Mus musculus: one gene and its partners. The main gene of each other region encodes a partner of the protein of the gene in region 3 in a complex. Links are inferred from orthologs where the notes say so. Each region holds a gene or a part of one and is shown on either strand. Other genes may lie near its edges.

What was found.
Region 1: Apba1 (region 3) and Lin7b share a complex: the UniProt entries of both Homo sapiens proteins name them as parts of the brain-specific heterotrimeric complex. The link is inferred for Mus musculus from reciprocal best matches to the Homo sapiens genes APBA1 and LIN7B.
Region 2: Apba1 (region 3) and Lin7c share a complex: the UniProt entries of both Homo sapiens proteins name them as parts of the brain-specific heterotrimeric complex. The link is inferred for Mus musculus from reciprocal best matches to the Homo sapiens genes APBA1 and LIN7C.
Region 4: Apba1 (region 3) and Lin7a share a complex: the UniProt entries of both Homo sapiens proteins name them as parts of the brain-specific heterotrimeric complex. The link is inferred for Mus musculus from reciprocal best matches to the Homo sapiens genes APBA1 and LIN7A.

The regions. Positions count from the first base shown.
Region 1 is NC_000073.6:45,367,694-45,371,819, forward strand, and holds Lin7b (protein lin-7 homolog B), read right to left. Parts: upstream 2,872-4,126; 5' UTR 2,866-2,871; coding exon 2,829-2,865; intron 2,553-2,828; coding exon 2,434-2,552; intron 2,294-2,433; coding exon 2,222-2,293; intron 1,658-2,221; coding exon 1,448-1,657; intron 775-1,447; coding exon 611-774; intron 306-610; coding exon 284-305; 3' UTR 198-283; downstream 1-197. UniProt on the Homo sapiens protein: Plays a role in establishing and maintaining the asymmetric distribution of channels and receptors at the plasma membrane of polarized cells.
Region 2 is NC_000068.7:109,889,651-109,893,705, reverse strand, and holds the start of Lin7c (protein lin-7 homolog C), read right to left. Parts: upstream 2,829-4,055; 5' UTR 2,822-2,828; coding exon 2,785-2,821; intron 1-2,784. UniProt on the Homo sapiens protein: Plays a role in establishing and maintaining the asymmetric distribution of channels and receptors at the plasma membrane of polarized cells.
Region 3 is NC_000085.6:23,757,444-23,761,675, reverse strand, and holds the start of Apba1 (amyloid-beta A4 precursor protein-binding family A member 1), read right to left. Parts: upstream 2,801-4,232; 5' UTR 2,585-2,800; intron 1-2,584. UniProt on the Homo sapiens protein: Putative function in synaptic vesicle exocytosis by binding to Munc18-1, an essential component of the synaptic vesicle exocytotic machinery. May modulate processing of the amyloid-beta precursor protein (APP) and hence formation of APP-beta.
Region 4 is NC_000076.6:107,270,390-107,274,678, forward strand, and holds the start of Lin7a (protein lin-7 homolog A), read left to right. Parts: upstream 1-1,441; 5' UTR 1,442-1,471; coding exon 1,472-1,553; intron 1,554-2,004; exon of another isoform or gene 2,005-2,875; intron 2,876-4,289. UniProt on the Homo sapiens protein: Plays a role in establishing and maintaining the asymmetric distribution of channels and receptors at the plasma membrane of polarized cells.

The DNA of each region.
Region 1 (4,126 bases), on a different chromosome or scaffold from region 3:
CCCTGGCGCTCACATAGACGCAGCCTTGGGTCGGGCTAGTCTCTGGGACACCGGCCAGCCTCCGCCTTCAGAGCTGCGCGAGCGTTGTCTATCATGGTACACAGACTGGAATGAGCTTGTTCTTAACCTCAGCTTCACTGTCCTCCTCCCCCACAGAGACTATTCCAGGATGCGCGACAGACACACAAGACACTCGGTGAGGGTTAAAGATCTTTAAATAAGGAGCCAGTGACAATAAATAATACTGTACAGGGGAGGAGAAGGAGGGTCCTGGTCTGTGATTTCAGCCTCGAGACTCCAAGGACCTGTGAGGGTGTAGAGAGGGGAGTTTTAGACACAGGGTAGGTTCAGGGGTGGGGTGGGGGAGGGCGCGTAAGATGTTCAATGGTGGGGTTCTGGAGACAACAGTTCAGAAAATCAGGCACAGGGCTTCTGGAGTTGGGGAGCCAGAGGGTCCCAGGGCCTTAGCTACCATGGCAGGAGTCAAAGGTCAGAAAACCCCTGGTGGAGAGCCAGAGATAAATGTTGAAGGCCGCTGTGCTCACTGGCCTGATTTGGGTATCTAAGGTTGGGGAAGGCAGCAGGGAGAGGATGGTGACTGGAGGCTCACGTGTAGCTGTGGTGCTGCTGGCGCCGACGGGCAGATCGCATCTTCTCGAAGCGGGCTTCCATCTCCTCCAGCACCCGAGGAGTGTAGCGCACCACCAGTTTCACTGAGCCCTGTGCAGCCTTCAGGAGTTCCACCGCCTTTTCATGGTGTTCGCCTTCCACACTCTGCAGGGCAGGCCTCGCACAGACTGCTGGCCCAAACCGCTGCCCTTACCACCCTACCCAGGACATGGGACCAGTGGATAGTGACACGGCTGCTGGGGTCAAGTCTCCAAGGCCTCATATCCCTCTAGTGGATCACCAACTTTAGGCACAGCACCCACAACCTAAAAACTGCATGTCAAGATAGCTTTGAGTCCCAGTGTCCTCAATGAACCAGGCCACTGAACCTGTCCCAAAAAAGTCTGTCTACACCCCCTAAGCTTATTGATCTCCTGCCCTCACTGCCCAGGGCCAGAAGCCGGGCTTTTCTGGAGAGACGACCTCCTCGGTGGTGTTTCCTTGGATTCTAATCACTGGGGTTTCAGGATGCTGACTGGCCCAGACATCAGGCAGAGCCAGCCTTTCTCCTCATCTCAGGGACCATCTCTGTTCCGAGCCAGAACCACCCCTCCACATCTTAGTTCAGAGAAGTACCCAACCTTCAACCTCCAAGCCAAATATTCCTCCTGAAAACAACTGCCATCTTCTACACTGGGCTGCTATCCTAGCTAGGCTCTCTGAAGTCCTTGAGGGTCAGCAGTGTACCCCACAGTGCTGTCTCCAAAGGCTGTGTTCCCTGTGTAGAGGGAATGTGACCGTCCAGGGCTGCCTTACGGACACTACCAACCCCACTCACCACACCATTCACAGACAGCAGCTGGTCTCCCCTCTTGAGGCCACCATGGCGATCAGCCACGCCCCCAGGGATGACTCGAGAGATATAGATGGGTGAGTTCTGCTCCTTGCCACCCATGATGTTGAAGCCCAAACCCTCATCAGTCTTCGGTAGTTCCACGACCCTGGGATGTGCGTGGCCCTCACTGGCCGTGAAAGCAGCCACTGTGGCCTGGAAGAGAGAAGACGCCTCAATGAGAGAGACCCTCTTTGAGACATGGGCACTCCAGCCAGCGTAGCCGCAAAGATCAAGTAGGGGAACCCTGACACAGCTCAACAGGAGGCTACCCTATACTGACTCCGACCTGTGAGAACCCTTGCTTTCTTCCGAAAGTCAGGGAGAAGGGCATCCTTAGTACTTAACACCTGCCAATCTTGTTCTCAGACAAATGGAAACAAGTGCCCCCCCCACCTCGGGGGTGGGGTGGGGTGATAGGGATCAGGTGTAAATCTTGAGTCTGCAGGCAGTAATAAGTAATAAGCACTGCAGTTTGGAAAGGTGTCCCTGTTCACAACATCCAACAGGATTGCCTTTTAGGGTCATCTTACCGACAGGAAAGTGAGGCCAGTTTCCAAGCCTGTTGCTAGAGAGAATCTCATGTGCATTCAAGTTAAAAATGTGCAGTTATTTAAAGGGCATTATAAATAAATCTTCATAGGGTGGCACAGAGATGCGCTGATGTGAAGGAGGGCACTGCTTTCGTGGTCACCCAGAGCTACCGGAGCAGGAGCTTACCTTAGCTGTGGCATGAGCCCGCACCTCGGCGCTGCCAGTGATGTCCAGCGTGTCATAGAGCTGTTCATACACCTGGGAAGTCGGGGACACGGCAACGTCAGAGAGCTGCCAGTCCACAGCCCTGGACACCGGTGTCCTCGTCCGCTCGCCCGTCGCCGACCCCGCCGCAGAGTGCAAGGAAACTACAACTTATACAGAACCAAGATGCTCACCTCGCGGATGGCGGAGCAGAAGCGACTCTGCAGGACCCGCTGCAGGGCCTGCAGCTTCTGCGGGGGCAGCTCTCCGCTGCGCTGCAGCCGCTCCAGCAGCTCCACAGCCCGGGACACGTCTGCAGAAAGCGGCAGGGACCGCGAGAGCATACGCCGGCAGCAAGAAGGGCAATCGAGGTCAGACTGGAAGCGATCCACGTGCCTCGCGGGTCGCGGGGACCCCAACCCTGGGCGAGGTGTTGGTGGGGCGCTCCGCCCCAGACCCTCCCACGCCCTCAGACTGCAGGCCGCGCCCCGCCCACCCTAACTAGGTCCGCCCCCCAACCCCCGCATCTGCAAAGCCTGTCGCAACCCAACGGAGCCCAGAGCCCGGACTGGACCCTCGGAGCGCTTACCCCGCTCCAGCCCCAGCGGCTCCACCAGTGCAGCCATATCGCCTCTAATGCAAGCCACCCGCCCAGGCGCCAGCGAGGAGGTGCAATGCGAGGCCCCGCCCACCAGGTGCTGGCAAGGAGGTGGTGCATGAGGCCCTGCCCACACGGCAACCAACAGTTTCAGAGGGCCTGCCCTCACACTGACAGGAGGCGGTGCTGCGCAGGGTCCCGCCCACTCCGGAACTCTAGAGACCTTCCCCCTCTGGGTGTCTCGCTCCTACATCACTATCTGCTGCCCATCATAGGTCTATCCTAGCCGCGATCTTGTTACTCCGTTGGTGTGTCTGCCTTGCTCTTTACAGTATGTCTGTGCTTTTCTGGTAACTTCCCCTCATTTCTACAGAGGGGCGTGGGTTCTCAGGACTCCAGGGGCCTATAGAAGAGGATCGCTGTGACTTGGAAGACAGAAACACCTAACAAGAGCCTATTTCAAGAAAGCAGAAAAATAAAAGCTGAAGGGGTAACTCAGTCGAAGAGTGCTAACCTTGCAGGCTGAGATTCTAGGTCCTGCACCCTGCAGAGCATAAATCATACCTGTAATCCCAGCATTCAGAAGTGGAGGCAGGGTGATCGGAACAGTGCCCAAGGTCACCCTCAGTTACACTGAAGTCTTGTGGCTAGCCAAGTCTACGTAAGACTGACAAAACATACACACAGAGCCCGGTGGTCCACGTCTTTAATCTCAGCACTTCCAAGGTCAGTGATTTCCATAGTGAGACCCTGTCTAGACTAACCTAGACTCACACACTGAAAGAGAGGGGGGGGAGGGGAGGGGAGGGGAGAGAGGAGGAGAGGAGAGAGAAACTTGAATAAGACCTTTATAGTTTAGAGATGCTTGGAAGATAAAGTCAACAAGTTGTATGACCTGGGTCACCCCAGCAGCCACCCAGAGAGTAGCCAAGAGGCTAGGCAGTGGTGACGGCAAAACAGTGGTCTTGTGTTATAATTTGCATTTGGATCTGTGTCTCCATATAAACCCCTGAGAGTGTACAAGATGGTCAAATACCTATCTGAAGATCTCCAGGGAGACTGGATTTCAGAAGGGGCAGAAGGGCAGATAAGGCCCTGGAGACTGGTCCACTAACGTGGAGTGCTGCCTGTTTGGGTGAGAGGTGGAGTGGGGAGCACTGAGGTGGACAGGTTCTCATGGTGACTGTGTGGACTGCTTGCAGATATTCTCGATGTGGGGAGCCTGTAGTTAGGCTGGTGATGTGGCTCAGCAGAGCACTTGCCTAGCAAATCGAAAGCCTTGGGTTCCA
Region 2 (4,055 bases), on a different chromosome or scaffold from region 3:
CAGATGTATGTCTCCTTGGTATGGATTAATTTTAAGAAATATTAAGCCGGCCAGTGGTGACGCACACCTTTAATCCCAGCACTTGAGAGGCAGAAGCAGGCGGATTTCAGAGTTTGAGGCCAGCCTGGTCTACAGAGTGAGTTCCAGGACAGCCAGGGCTATACAGAGAAATATTAAAGTATTAGGGGCCAAAGACATAGTTCAGCACTTCCTGAATCCTAGCACCCACTTGGTCATCTCACAATTACCTAAACCTCCACGGACCTGACACCCTCTTCTGCCACGCCCCTCTCCAAAGTCTCCCAACATATACAACTTAAAAAGAAAAAAATATGAAAGAGCTACAAACACACACACACACACAGACACATTTAGCATATTAGATAACTGTCATTGGGAATGTAAAAAATGTGAACAAAGAACTTTAGAAAACTCAACTTCATGTTATAACACTATTAATCACAATCTCTGTTCTGAGTTTTTTCCTAAGGTTTTTCTGAACCCCAGCCTCAGTATATTCTTATTGCTAATTAAGTAGCAGTAAATTCTAATTAAATTTAATTAAGTAAGTTTGAATTGTGCTCATTTGGCTCCAAAGGTTAGGATACCTTAGAGTCTATATAAGTCTATATACTATCCTATATATTCTGATCCTTGCATACTTTGACTTAACTAGAGGAAAGTTTTGATTTCATGCCACGTTAAAAACCGGACATTTAGCCGGGCGTGGTGGCGCACACCTTTAATCCCGCAACAACAACAACTACAACAACAACAACAACAACAAAATACCAGGCATTTACTTCACAGAATTAGTTAGGACTTTGCATTTGTTTATGAAAAAGTCCAAATAAACTTAGTAGAGAAGCAAAAAGTTGATTCAGTTTTAGATAATAAAAGTTTAAACTGCTATTAATCAGTTAATCAAACAGACCAGCTTTGCTCTGATGTCCCACCACCAGAATGGCTAGTAAATGTTGTTTCAGCAGTTGTTGATTTACAGTCACAATACATTATCCACATTAAAATCCTACATATACAGCTGGGAAAACGGCTCAGTGGCAGAGTGCTCACCTAATATGTACAAGGCTCTCAACTCAATACAACATGGTGGGAAGAAGGAAAAGAGGAGATAGGAGAGGGTAGAGAGAAGGGAGACACTTAGAAATGAGTTAAACACTCTATACCAAATATATGCTCATTAAGTTTGTGCACCAGTGAATTGTGCTTTGATGATTTTGAAGCAAACAGGAACTTGGTCATATGTACTGGTATTTTGCTGTGGAATTGTACTGTGGAACTTTTGAGAATATGCTAGGTCTGTTAGAATTCTTGATCAGAATCGGACTTGACACCAACTGCCTTGCTTATCCTGCTAACTGGCAAAAACCAACTAGGACTTCATTCCTACCAATATTTTGAGCTTTCTACTGTTTAACTGAAAAACTTCCTAACAGCAAAAAGCAGATGTCAGAGGGAAAAGGTCCACATTTTGTGCTTCATTTAAAGATACAAAAGAACGCCATCTTGTTTGAAACTTGCAACTCTTCTGGTTAACACCAACAGATTTGTTCCTGTGTAACAATGTGTTCAAAGCACATTGACACCGTAGTACTTGAGGGGAAAATGACACAGCTGTAAGCCTACCTTATTCTTTCCCAAGCTACCCTGTCACAAACAAGTTCATTTATTTAAAAAGAAACAAAAGGCTCCCATGGTCACTACAATAAAAAGCAAAACGAATCATAATCAGCACAGTGTGTGAGGAAAGAGGTTCTATTACATACACAAATTTTATAAAATGATTTCCTTCTTGGACGATATTGAGATTATAATTGTGAATACTAAATATATGCAATGTCAAACTCCATCCCAGGCGATGTTTGCCAACAGCACTCGAAATGCTTAACTGGTACTTTCTGGTTACTATGACTACCGAATTGTACAAAGCTTGTTCCAGTTGTCTGAAATTTAAGTTGGGGCAGAACAGAGTACAATACTGGAAAGCTGCAACTGGACCCTGGGAGAGTCTTTTCACAGGCTTCTCTTCAATCGGGTTGGTTTTTCTTGGCTGTTTGCTCTAAGAAGCAATCAACCAACCAGGTTTCCAAGTGTAGGGTTTATGAGTATGGAATTGCATGGCACTTAAAAGTGACTTACAATCAAATCACTACTCCACCTAGTTATGTAATCTCCTTCCCAAGATCAAGTCAGTTGGAGGGTTTTTTTTTTGTTTGTTTTTTGTTTTTGTTTTTGTAAGCATCCTCTCCGTGGCTGGAGGGGTGCGAAAGTTAGGAAAGAGCAACTCAAAGCCCGGAGGCTGTGGTCACAGTACTGAAGGAGTCTGAGTTTTAAATGGGGGCGAGGGAGTTTCTGCGGGAATGTGTCTGTGTCGGCCAAGTGGCAGAACCAGGCCAAGAGGCCACACTGATCTGTTCGCGCACACTGACCGTAGACAGTGCCGGGCTGCGTGGTGGCCTCGGCTTTTAGGGTCTATGAAGCTGAAAGCCGATGCTGCGGTGCGGACCCAGGGAGCGCCCGTGCCTACAGCCGTGGGCAGGCCGCTGAGCCGTGCTGTGCCCGCCGCCAGCCTCAACGGCCGGCTCTGGCGAGCTTTCAAACGCCAGCCAGCGCCCCCCGCGAGCAGCGCCCGGCGCCGAGGCCGCCGAGGGCTTCCGGGGCTCAGCGTCCGGGTCACCTTGCCTCCGCTCCGGCCCGCAGGCAGAGCGGTTCGTAGTCTCGACCCGCCCCACCCACCGCGGCCGCGACCCCCGCCGCACTCACCCCTTTCCAGCCGGACAGGTTCGCCCAGCGCCGCCATCTTCTCTTCGGAGGTGCAGACCCACAGGAAGTGACGACAGAGGGGCCGCGGTGGACCAGGCCGAGAAAGCGGAAGGGCGAGGATGGTAGTAACGCGAGAGCTAGAAGGATGCGGGTAACTACGCAGAGCGGTAGCCGGGGACGCTTTGCGACCGACGGGTGGCCTCCTTTCGTGGGTCTGTGCTCGTCCACTTCCAACAACCTGAGGTTGAAAAGAACCGATGTCCCGAGTGTCCCCTGCCTCGGGGAAGTCAGGACCTTAGTTCCGGCCCTTACCCGACCGACGGCAGCCTCTGACCGTCTAGGCTGGTTTCCCCATGTCCGAGTCCTCTTATAAATTCTTAATATCCTAGCTTGATCTAATTTAAAAAATTTACAATTCGAATTTTATCTAAAACTCTCTTTGAGCAGAAAGGTGGGAAAAAAAACAACCGGGAGAGAACGCTTTGGTATACACGAAGTATTGTTTTTAGTTAGCCGATTCAAAATCTGCTTGTGAATGAAGGATGAAGCATAGATTTTGTTTTATGGGTACATTTTGTAATTTGTAAGAATTTTTATATTAATGGGTGTTTTGCCCTTATGTATATCTGCACCATTTACAAACCTGAGGCCACAAGAGGGCATCTATTCCCCTGGAACTGGAGTTACAGATGGTTGAGACCTGCCCTGTGGGTGTTGGGAATCTAACCCCAGGACCCCTGGAAAAGGAGCCAGTACTCCTAACAGCACTGTCTGTCATCTCCAGATCCTCATAGGGCCACTCTTGAAGACTTGGTGGACCCAAATATTTTTAGTCACTAATTTCAATGAAATAATTTTTGTGAAACTTGGATTTGGGTAGCAAAGATCATAGTCCAGTGTTAAGTTTGTAACACCTGCACGACAGGATTGTTTTAATAGCTGGTTGCAGGTGACCCATTCTTTCCGTTGAACTGCAGTTTTCTACATGTTGTTATTAGGTAGTTGAATCCCACCACTGGGCAGTAGCCTTCAAGCTTCCTCATGCTCCATACAAATGACACAGGTTTTCTTGGCTGACAGGAGCTATTCTTATGAGCTGGGGTTACACATTACTTACTTTTCCAGAGACTCGAATCTGCAGACTTGTACAAGCTACACAAATCTGAGCTTTATCTCTATCTTCTGCTCCTTTGGAGTAGTCTTTTTCCATGTCTTTGATGATAAACACACAAAAAATCCCAGAATTCCAGGCTTACGCAGAAGACCATAAA
Region 3 (4,232 bases):
CTGTTTCTACCACTCGATGTTCTATTTTGTCTTCCTTGCAGCATAAAAGCTCAGTTTCCCCCGTGGCACCATGGTTTATCCCTTTTTGGCCCTGCAGGTCAATTTTCAAATGTCCTTTACTTCCAAGTCTTCTGAAAAGACAAACTTTTCAAAGGGAGGCTTGCGGTAGAGGAGAAAGGCATTAAAGCTGCTTTTAGGGAAGAAGACGAAGAGGCATTCATGCAAAACAAATGGCTTGCTGCAGGCTGCAGGGAGAGGTGCAGCCATTTACCAAACTGAATTACAGATCTCAGCTGTACCTTTAACCTCACCGGGCCAAACGTTAGGAAAGCAGGGCATGGCATTTGAAAAAGTCTCTCATTTACATGAGAAAGGAAATCAGAAATTCTCAAGTCATCAATTGTGTTTGTATGCACTTCTTTCTCTAATCAGGCTGTTTACGTTGGTAATTTCTAATATTCTTGAGTTTTCTTATAAGAAATTTACATATGTGGTTTTACTTGCGTATACAGAGATGATAACTTTTTTTTAAAGTAAAGAAACCTAAGCCTCTTAAGTGACTTACATCCATCAGAATGAGATATGGCCAAAGCATTAAGAGAGTTAAAGAACTAGGATTCTAAATTCATTTTTATAAGTCCTTTTTAAAGTCTCGGATGAGATCCAACAACCTCACATTAAAATTTCAGAAGGCTTGGCTTGAAGGATGCGGGGAAATTTACTTTACACTCATAGCTTCCAGCATAGTTGGTCCACATGTCATCATTTGTTTTAAAAACAATAAACGAGAAGGAAAAGTCATATGTAGATGGCCTTAGCTTTATTATTTTCAATGTACCCATGGAATAACACTTTATACTTTGCCCAAAGAATAAAATTTTTAGAAAAAGAAAGAAATCTTTGGTGTCAGTATATCATACATTTATTTGTACATCCTTGTGATTATTTCAAGCTTTTCAAAGAGGCCCAGTGCAGCCCATTTGGGTTCTGACAGCAATTCAGTAGAATTTAAGGTATTATAACTAAAATATGTCCCAAGCAGGTGAATCCAATCATATGACATCAGTAAAGTACTGGGCTATTATCATAAAGGTGCATTCACTCCTATGGATATTGCAGGAGAAATACAGACTCCAGGGAACCAGGCGGCAGTGGACACGCATACGGATATGCCATCTCTAGTGCTTTCCCTCTCTACGCAACCCTATCTTTATTACGCAGAGAAATTTAAGCATCTATAGACTCTGCGTGCTTTTTCTCTGTCTTGGTTCCTAGACATCATTGGAGAGCCAAACATTTGCCAAATTTCCTACGAGTGAGCTGTCCTGGGAAGGAAATCGGGGACTTCACTGACTGGAGATCTTATATCCATGGGTCTCGGGAAATTTCAGTTCCTAAATGGACCTTCTAACCATTGTGAAAGCCGGGAGAGTGGCTGTCACTAGCATCCCATTTCCCACGGAAAAACACCCAAGAGAATGCATGTTGGGGCACTCTTTTTTTTTTCCTTGTTTTTTTTTTTTTTACTTCCCTTTCAATCTTGTTCTTGTATTTTTAAAGCCCCCACCTTCTTTACACACCTCAAGAGTTTATTCTAAAAGAATCATTGCAAAGACTATCCAATCTTCAGCTAGAAGGTTTTCAGTACTTATATATGGAAGGGAGTCTGGTGATAAAAGTTGTGGGAACGGGAGAGGAAGATGACCATTAAACACCCTCTTCTTGGGGTTAGACAAGAGATAAACAATAGAAATTGCAGAGTCAGGCAGTCAATGAGAGGCTGTGAAGTGCCAAAGAAAGCGCCCTTCAGAGCCAGGGACACCAGCTGTCTCAAAAGGTGTAACCATTATCCTGGTTTGCTGCCATGTGCCTCAAAGCAACCGCTCACTTCCACATCCCCGTGTTAGGACGTTAGGGAAAGGGGAAGCGAGAATCCGTACACCCAGCCACCCAAGAACAGTAGCAGAACAGAAACTGTTCTTAGACTTGCAGGGTCAAAATAACCAATACTGTCCCACAGTGTTAGCTGGCGGCATCAAGTCAGGAAAAGCAGATCGCTGGATGTGGGGCGCAGTTTTGAGAGCGTGGATCCAATTGCACGCTAAACACTCACTCTTACACGGGATTTTACAAACCCGGCCTTACCCTACTGCCTCCCCTCCACACTTCACACACCAAGTGCATCCTGCCCACCTCACGGTTTCCATCATCAGTCAGCCAGAGAGGAGGGATCCTAGCGGGGATTCCTGGAAATGTCATCTCCCCCTACACTTCGGATCTGCCACCTCCATCCCCTCTGCTATCACACACACACACACACACACACACACACACACACTCCTTCCGTGACTGTCATCAGGCCCGCTCTTCCCAAAGCCGGGTATCTCAGCGCGCACCGGACGCCTGGCATCTCTCTAGTACACACCCTTCCCCCGCCTCGCTAGCTCCAAGCACTGCCTCCCTGGATGTCGCCTGCCGTCCCTGTTCATCCGCACTATTGTTCCACGCTTCACCCCTAGCTCCCGGGATCATCCCTCCAAAAGGACCCGAGCTCCGTCCGGGGCGTCGGGCGCCCGGCACTCACCCAGCCCGCCCTGGCGGTGGTACCTTGCCTGACAGCTGGGTCCGCGGGCCCGCGGGAGCAGGCGGCGCTAGTGACAGCGACCGTGCCAAGCCTGGGAATAAAGCTGCTCTCCAGCTGCTCCCGCCTCCAGCGCCACCATCTTCCCCCGCCGCCACCGGGACCGCAGCCGCCCGCGCCCCGCTCCTCCGGCTCTAGCTCGGCAGCCGCTCGGGCCCCTCCGGCCGCGGCCCCACCCCCTGCTCGCCGCCCGCTCGCCCTCGTGACGCGCGCCGGGGCCGGGCGGCTGCGACTGACGGCGGGGGGAGCGCGCGCACGCCGCGTGCAGCAGCGCCCCTGCCTCCCACGCCCACCCGCGTGCGCGCGCGCGGCGCGGGCCCGACGCGACAGTCCAGCTCGGGCGCGCGTGAGCGTGCGAGGGGTCCACAGCCGTCGCCGTAGCTGTGCGCGAGTCCCTCCCTCTCGTGGCCGAGAGCCTGGAATGGACTACGTGGCTGCCTCCCGCGGGGACACAGGGGGACCTCCACGGTCCTCTGTCCCAGGTCCCTAACGCTCATCCCCGGCCCCGTCTCTGCGAATGGGCTCTGGTCACGCTTAGGACACACTGCCGCGTGGACGGCTGCCCGTGTCCTCTTGCTTAGTGACACGCAGTTTTCCCGCTTCCCGGGCCTGAAAGCCAAGAAAAAGCTTGGAGCTTGCAATGCGGCGCTGCGCTCCTCGAGTGGCCGCGAGGGGGCGCCCGCGTGAGCTTGAGAGGAACAAGCTGGGCGTCTGTCTGGCCGCCCACTGGGGGCGCTGCCCAACCCGCCCCACCCAGAAAGCGTCTGGAAGGCGGGGTCGGGAAATGGTCCACTTGGTTTCTCGATGCCCGTTGCTAGGAGCTTAAAAGAGTCTTCCAGACGTGCAGAGGCAATTCGCCTGGTATATGATTAGGTTCTCTGGAGGGTGGGGACCCTGAGCACTAGGGACCAGGTAGCAGGTGTTGTGACTTAATGAAAAGGTGGACTGGCCCCTGGGCGGCGGCGGGGTGGGAGTGGAGGGGCGAGGGCGGGGCTGGGTTCAGGCGCCTGGGTTCAGGCGCCAGCTCCATCTGTAATAGGCGATTCCATAGCTACATCCTCCCCCCTCTTTGGGACAGAGTTCTCAATTTAAAAATTAAGGGTCATATTCCCCCGAAACCTTATAATTTTCAAGTCCGTCTTAGTATGCATATTCTCATCTAGTGAAATGAAGACAAGCCTTCCTTATCTGACCTAGGGAGAGATAAATCTATCATTATACAGTATTTCCATATTAAGCACAGTATCTCCAGAAATATCTACGGGTGTAGCCCGAGGCATCCTAGAATTCTTGTTTAGCCTTAAAATTCACATGAATTTCTGCATTCTACTTCGTAATTAGTTTCTTGGCTTTGACAAAGAAAAGTATAGCTTCTCCTGTCCCCCCAGTATCTTTTCATAAAACTTAAACATATACTAGAAATAAGGGCCATTGTTGTTTTTCTTGTGACAGTCATTCCCTATTCATCTTGTCAGTAAAACTACCCTCTCTGGTGAAAGCCAGATAGGGTCCTCGTCCCTCCAGAATTCATAGCACCCTGGGAAAACTACACATCAGAGAACAACTGTGAACTTTCCAACTGCCAAGGTGC
Region 4 (4,289 bases), on a different chromosome or scaffold from region 3:
TTATCTGATCACTTTTCAATTGAGTAAAGCTGGTCCCTCATTTGACGGATGAAGAAACTGCGGATGCACAAGGGACTGCAAGTTTGTCAGATCCTGGGAGCTGTGAAAAGTTGAATTTCATGGTTAAAGTTCTTAAACTTAAAACTCTTAGAAGATGACTACATTGAAAGACTACGTTCAGCATGTATCCAATGATCTGTTGCATAGTTAGATGGTCAGTCATCTTTGACTTTTCAATTCCTGCTGAATTTCTGAGCTTTCTCACCTCTTAGTCTCATTAGAAGAACGTAGCATTTGGTCATACGCAAATACTCTGCAACCCAGTGGGTCTACCTCTGAGGGTCTCTGGGTCACAAGGATGATTTAGCTGTCACAGGGAGGGCAGCATCGCCATCTCAGCTCTGTGTCCACCAATCTCGGTAAAGCCCAGAGGATCTTTCTCCATGTTTCTTCATGGTTTGATAAGGAAATGAGGCTTGGTGAACATTTAGTGAAAGTTGGGATTAAGGCTCATAGTCAGTATTTGAAGGCTCCAGGAACTGAACTGTGATCTACTGACTCAGAAATAAGGCCTTTCACATTATCTACCTGTAATTCGGAGGATGCAGAGAAAGAAAACAAAAGTGAATCCCCAGGTTAAGATGTAGCAAATGGCACCAAACATCCGTGGCTCAACTCTTGTCATGCATGCTAATTAATAAATAGCACCTCTGAATACAAGTTTCTTCCAGATTAACAGGAGAGGGTCCCTGATAAATACTGTTCACTGACAGCAACTCGTTTTTTATTTCAGAACCTTTTAAGGAAGTTTGCTTGTAAAGGCAAGTCATTTTCCTAGGCAATGTACCCAGGTCCTAAACGAACACTGACTTAACAGAACCCTGCCTGGCCCTCAGTCGGTTACCTTGTGCTGTTGAGAGTGGACGTTCTAAACAAAAAGCTTCAACAGAAATTAACAGCAACTACAATGATATAGCAACATCTCCCACGGCTAGTGGCGTTTCCTCTGGAAAGGGATGTGGAAAGGGAGGTTGAAATTTTTTCTTAATCTGAAAAGAATTCTGTCCCCCCACCTCTCTACCCCTGTCTGTCTCTCTCCCGTTTCTGAGTCCTCTTCTTCTGGGTTCGAGTGCATTCTGACCATTATGCTTAGGTGGAAAGTTGAAAGACAGCAAACCTGCTACAGCCACCCAGAGCTACTGACGGGTGGGCGAGCAAAGTTCTAGGGCTGAGCGTTCCTTTCTCAGCTCCTTGGCCAGGCAGGCGCTCGCGGCTACCTGCCCTGCTTGGCGCCGCACTGAAGATTCGCCGCGGCGGAACAGTTGAGTCTCCATCTGGCTACCAACCCACCCGAGCTTTCTTCTCCTCCATCACCACCTTCCTGCCTCCCCCTCCTCCCCCTCCTTTCCGTCTTCCCTCTCCACCCCCGCCCCCAATCTCCTCCTCTTTTTCTCACTACAAGCGGTTGCTGATGCTGAAGCCGAGCGTCACTTCGGCTCCCACGGCAGACATGGCGACATTGACAGTGGTCCAGCCGCTTACTCTGGACAGAGGTAAGGGAGCGGCTGGTCCGTCAGGCCACACAGTCCGCACCGCTTCGCCCTCCGCCCTGCCCAGTCCCACAGGGAAGGCAGGATGCGCTCGGGCAGGGGCAGCTGGGGGAGGAGGATCAGCCCAGGAGGGTTTCGCGCCCGGAGCAGGACACTTTCTTCCCCTCTCTCCTCTCCTGGTCCCCGCTGCCCCTTCTTGCTGCGCTCTCCGGGGCGTAGGTGCTTGCCAGGGCTCGAATGTTTCAGCTGACAGTCTCGGTCCCTCGCCGGGTCGCCTCCGGGCCCCGGCTTTGTTGGAGAGGATGCGCCGGGACCGCTGAGCGCTGGTGACTGGAGGTTGAAGAGGGGCAGAGAAAGCTCTCCCAGCCAGAGCTTGCTAAGGGACCAGTGGGGAAGCTAGCTGCCAACTGCCGGCGCGGGGACCCGAAGGGAGGAAGTTTGTCCCCGCGCTGGAGATGAGGGGTCTGTGCAGCTGTTGTGACTGGGAGATCGCCCCAGGGCGGCAGGGCGCTTGGCTGGGAAGCTGGGTGCAAAGCCGCGGGACTGCCTGGCTAGGGCGCTGCCCTCGGGCGAAAGGGCAGAGCAGAGCTCGGGCAACCTTCGCTGGCTCAGGGACACCGCATCCGGAGCCGAGCCGGCTTGGCTCCAGCTTCCCGCTCGGAGCTGCGGCTCTGGTCTTGGTACTCCCTCAGCCTGCAGTTCCAGGGAGGTAGCAACTCCTGTCTCCTGCTCCAGCAAACCTTGTTCTTCACCAGTCAAGTGTACCTCAGTGCCTGGGCTGCAGAAGGCGCGGAGACAAAGCGCAGGCTGGGTAACTGTTTAACTTCTAGCCTGTGACCTGTGCGTCCTACTCTTTGGCTGAAACGGAAAGAGCTTTTGCTCAAACCTTTCCAAACCTTTCCAAACCTTTCTCTAGGATCGGGCCCTGCTGAGTGCACCCGAGTAGTACCTGGCGGTGGATGGGAGTTTCCTTTCTGCCTCACCAGGTCCAGTTAGTTATTAGGGCTCCAGAGTCCCCAGCTCTGCAGAGAGAGGGCACCTCTAGCTCTGGGTCCGCAGCGGCGGGGCTTAGGACCCGGTGCAGTCATTTGAAAATGCTGTGCTCAGAAGAAAATGATTTAGTCCTTGTCCCTCTAAAATTTCTCTTTCTGGAGGATTAAACTAGCGGCCCAGCAAAGCAAAAAGAGCATCGTACAGCGAGCACAGTGGCAAAGCTGGTAAACTGTATTTGAGGTTCTTAATGTGGAGAGATCTCTGGTGACTTTAACTCAATCTGTTGGTGCCAGAACGGATATTATGCGGTGCCCATAGCAACCTTACTTAGGGTAAGAGTTGAAAAATAATTGATTTTTATGTTGGGAAATGTTCGTTTACAGATTAATAAGAGTAAAGAGCTCAGAAGTCCGTCGTATAATCTATGATTTTAGTCCCAATATCATCTGTACTAAGCAGGATAAATCCATTGCTGGTAAGAGCCAAACAGATGGCAGGCTATTAAAAACGATGGGTTTCCCAAGTTATTTCTGTTTTAATGTGATGAGCTCTTCTATTGTCCCATTACTGAATTACAGTCATTAAACACCCCAAGTTTAACTATATTAAACAACCCAAGTTCTAACTATGTTAGATGCAAACACTCCAAGAAGACAACATACTCAAGCAAATTTACATCCCACCACTACTATTAGCAATGCAACTAGTCCACTTTGGGGAAGTTTATCTTAGCCCTTGGACACCCCAGTCAGCTATCTAGAGAAGACCAAGATTTAAAGTGTGTTCTTGTTTATATTCAGAGGGTACCTGTCCTTCTGTGATTAGATCTGTAGAGTAAGTAACAAAGGAAGCCCAGTCAGGTTATCTATGGGAACATCTGAATTATTGAACCACTGGCTTTAAGTGCTCTGTGTGTAAGAAGTCCGTGAAGTTATCTTCCCTCTAATTCACTATGATAGTACACCAAGTTAAGTAATTTTATTAGGTTGATGGAATATGTGATTCTAAGCTTTGTCCTGGTTTGGTTGGGCATTAGGACATGAAGGTCTGATAATTGTGAAGATGTGCAGTGTTAGCAGCCTGTAATTCGGTTAACCCAACTTAGGGCTCAGCGTTTGGCCACCTACTGGCGATTTTGGGTCACTCCAAGTTTCCAGAGTGCCATTTGATACGTTGGTGGCCCATGTTATACACTCTAAATTTGCTCACTCAAAAGCTTTTGGCTCCATCAAAGCCTTTATAATTTACAATCCTTCTTTCCTTTAGTCTCCCCCAATGTGTAAAGCTCCTTGAGGGACGAAGCCATTTCTTAACCCATCTTTGAATTTCTCATCATCCCTGACTTGTGATGGAGTATAAAGTCAATGTAGACTAGTGATAGTGAACTGAAGCTGGAGTAAATGGAGAACTGTTTGTTATACAGATTTCATACGGAACTGGGGTACAGTTATGAGGTTATGGCCCTGCAGAGCTAGCAAGGATGCTAGAAAGGAGCACGTAAGGCGGTGGCTATGAACCGTTCCCAGATTCACTTGGTGGATCTCTACCAGCCACACCTGTTTAGCAAGACTGGGTTTCTTTATGTAGTCCTTGCTGTCCTGGGACTTGCTTTGTAGACCAGGCTGGCCTTGAACTCAGAGATCTGCCTGCCTTTGCCTCCTGAGTGCTGGGATTAAAGGGAATGTGGCATCTCGGGCCTAAGGAGGATTGTAACTAGTGGGCAACAGGAAAGAAGGAAATGGGATT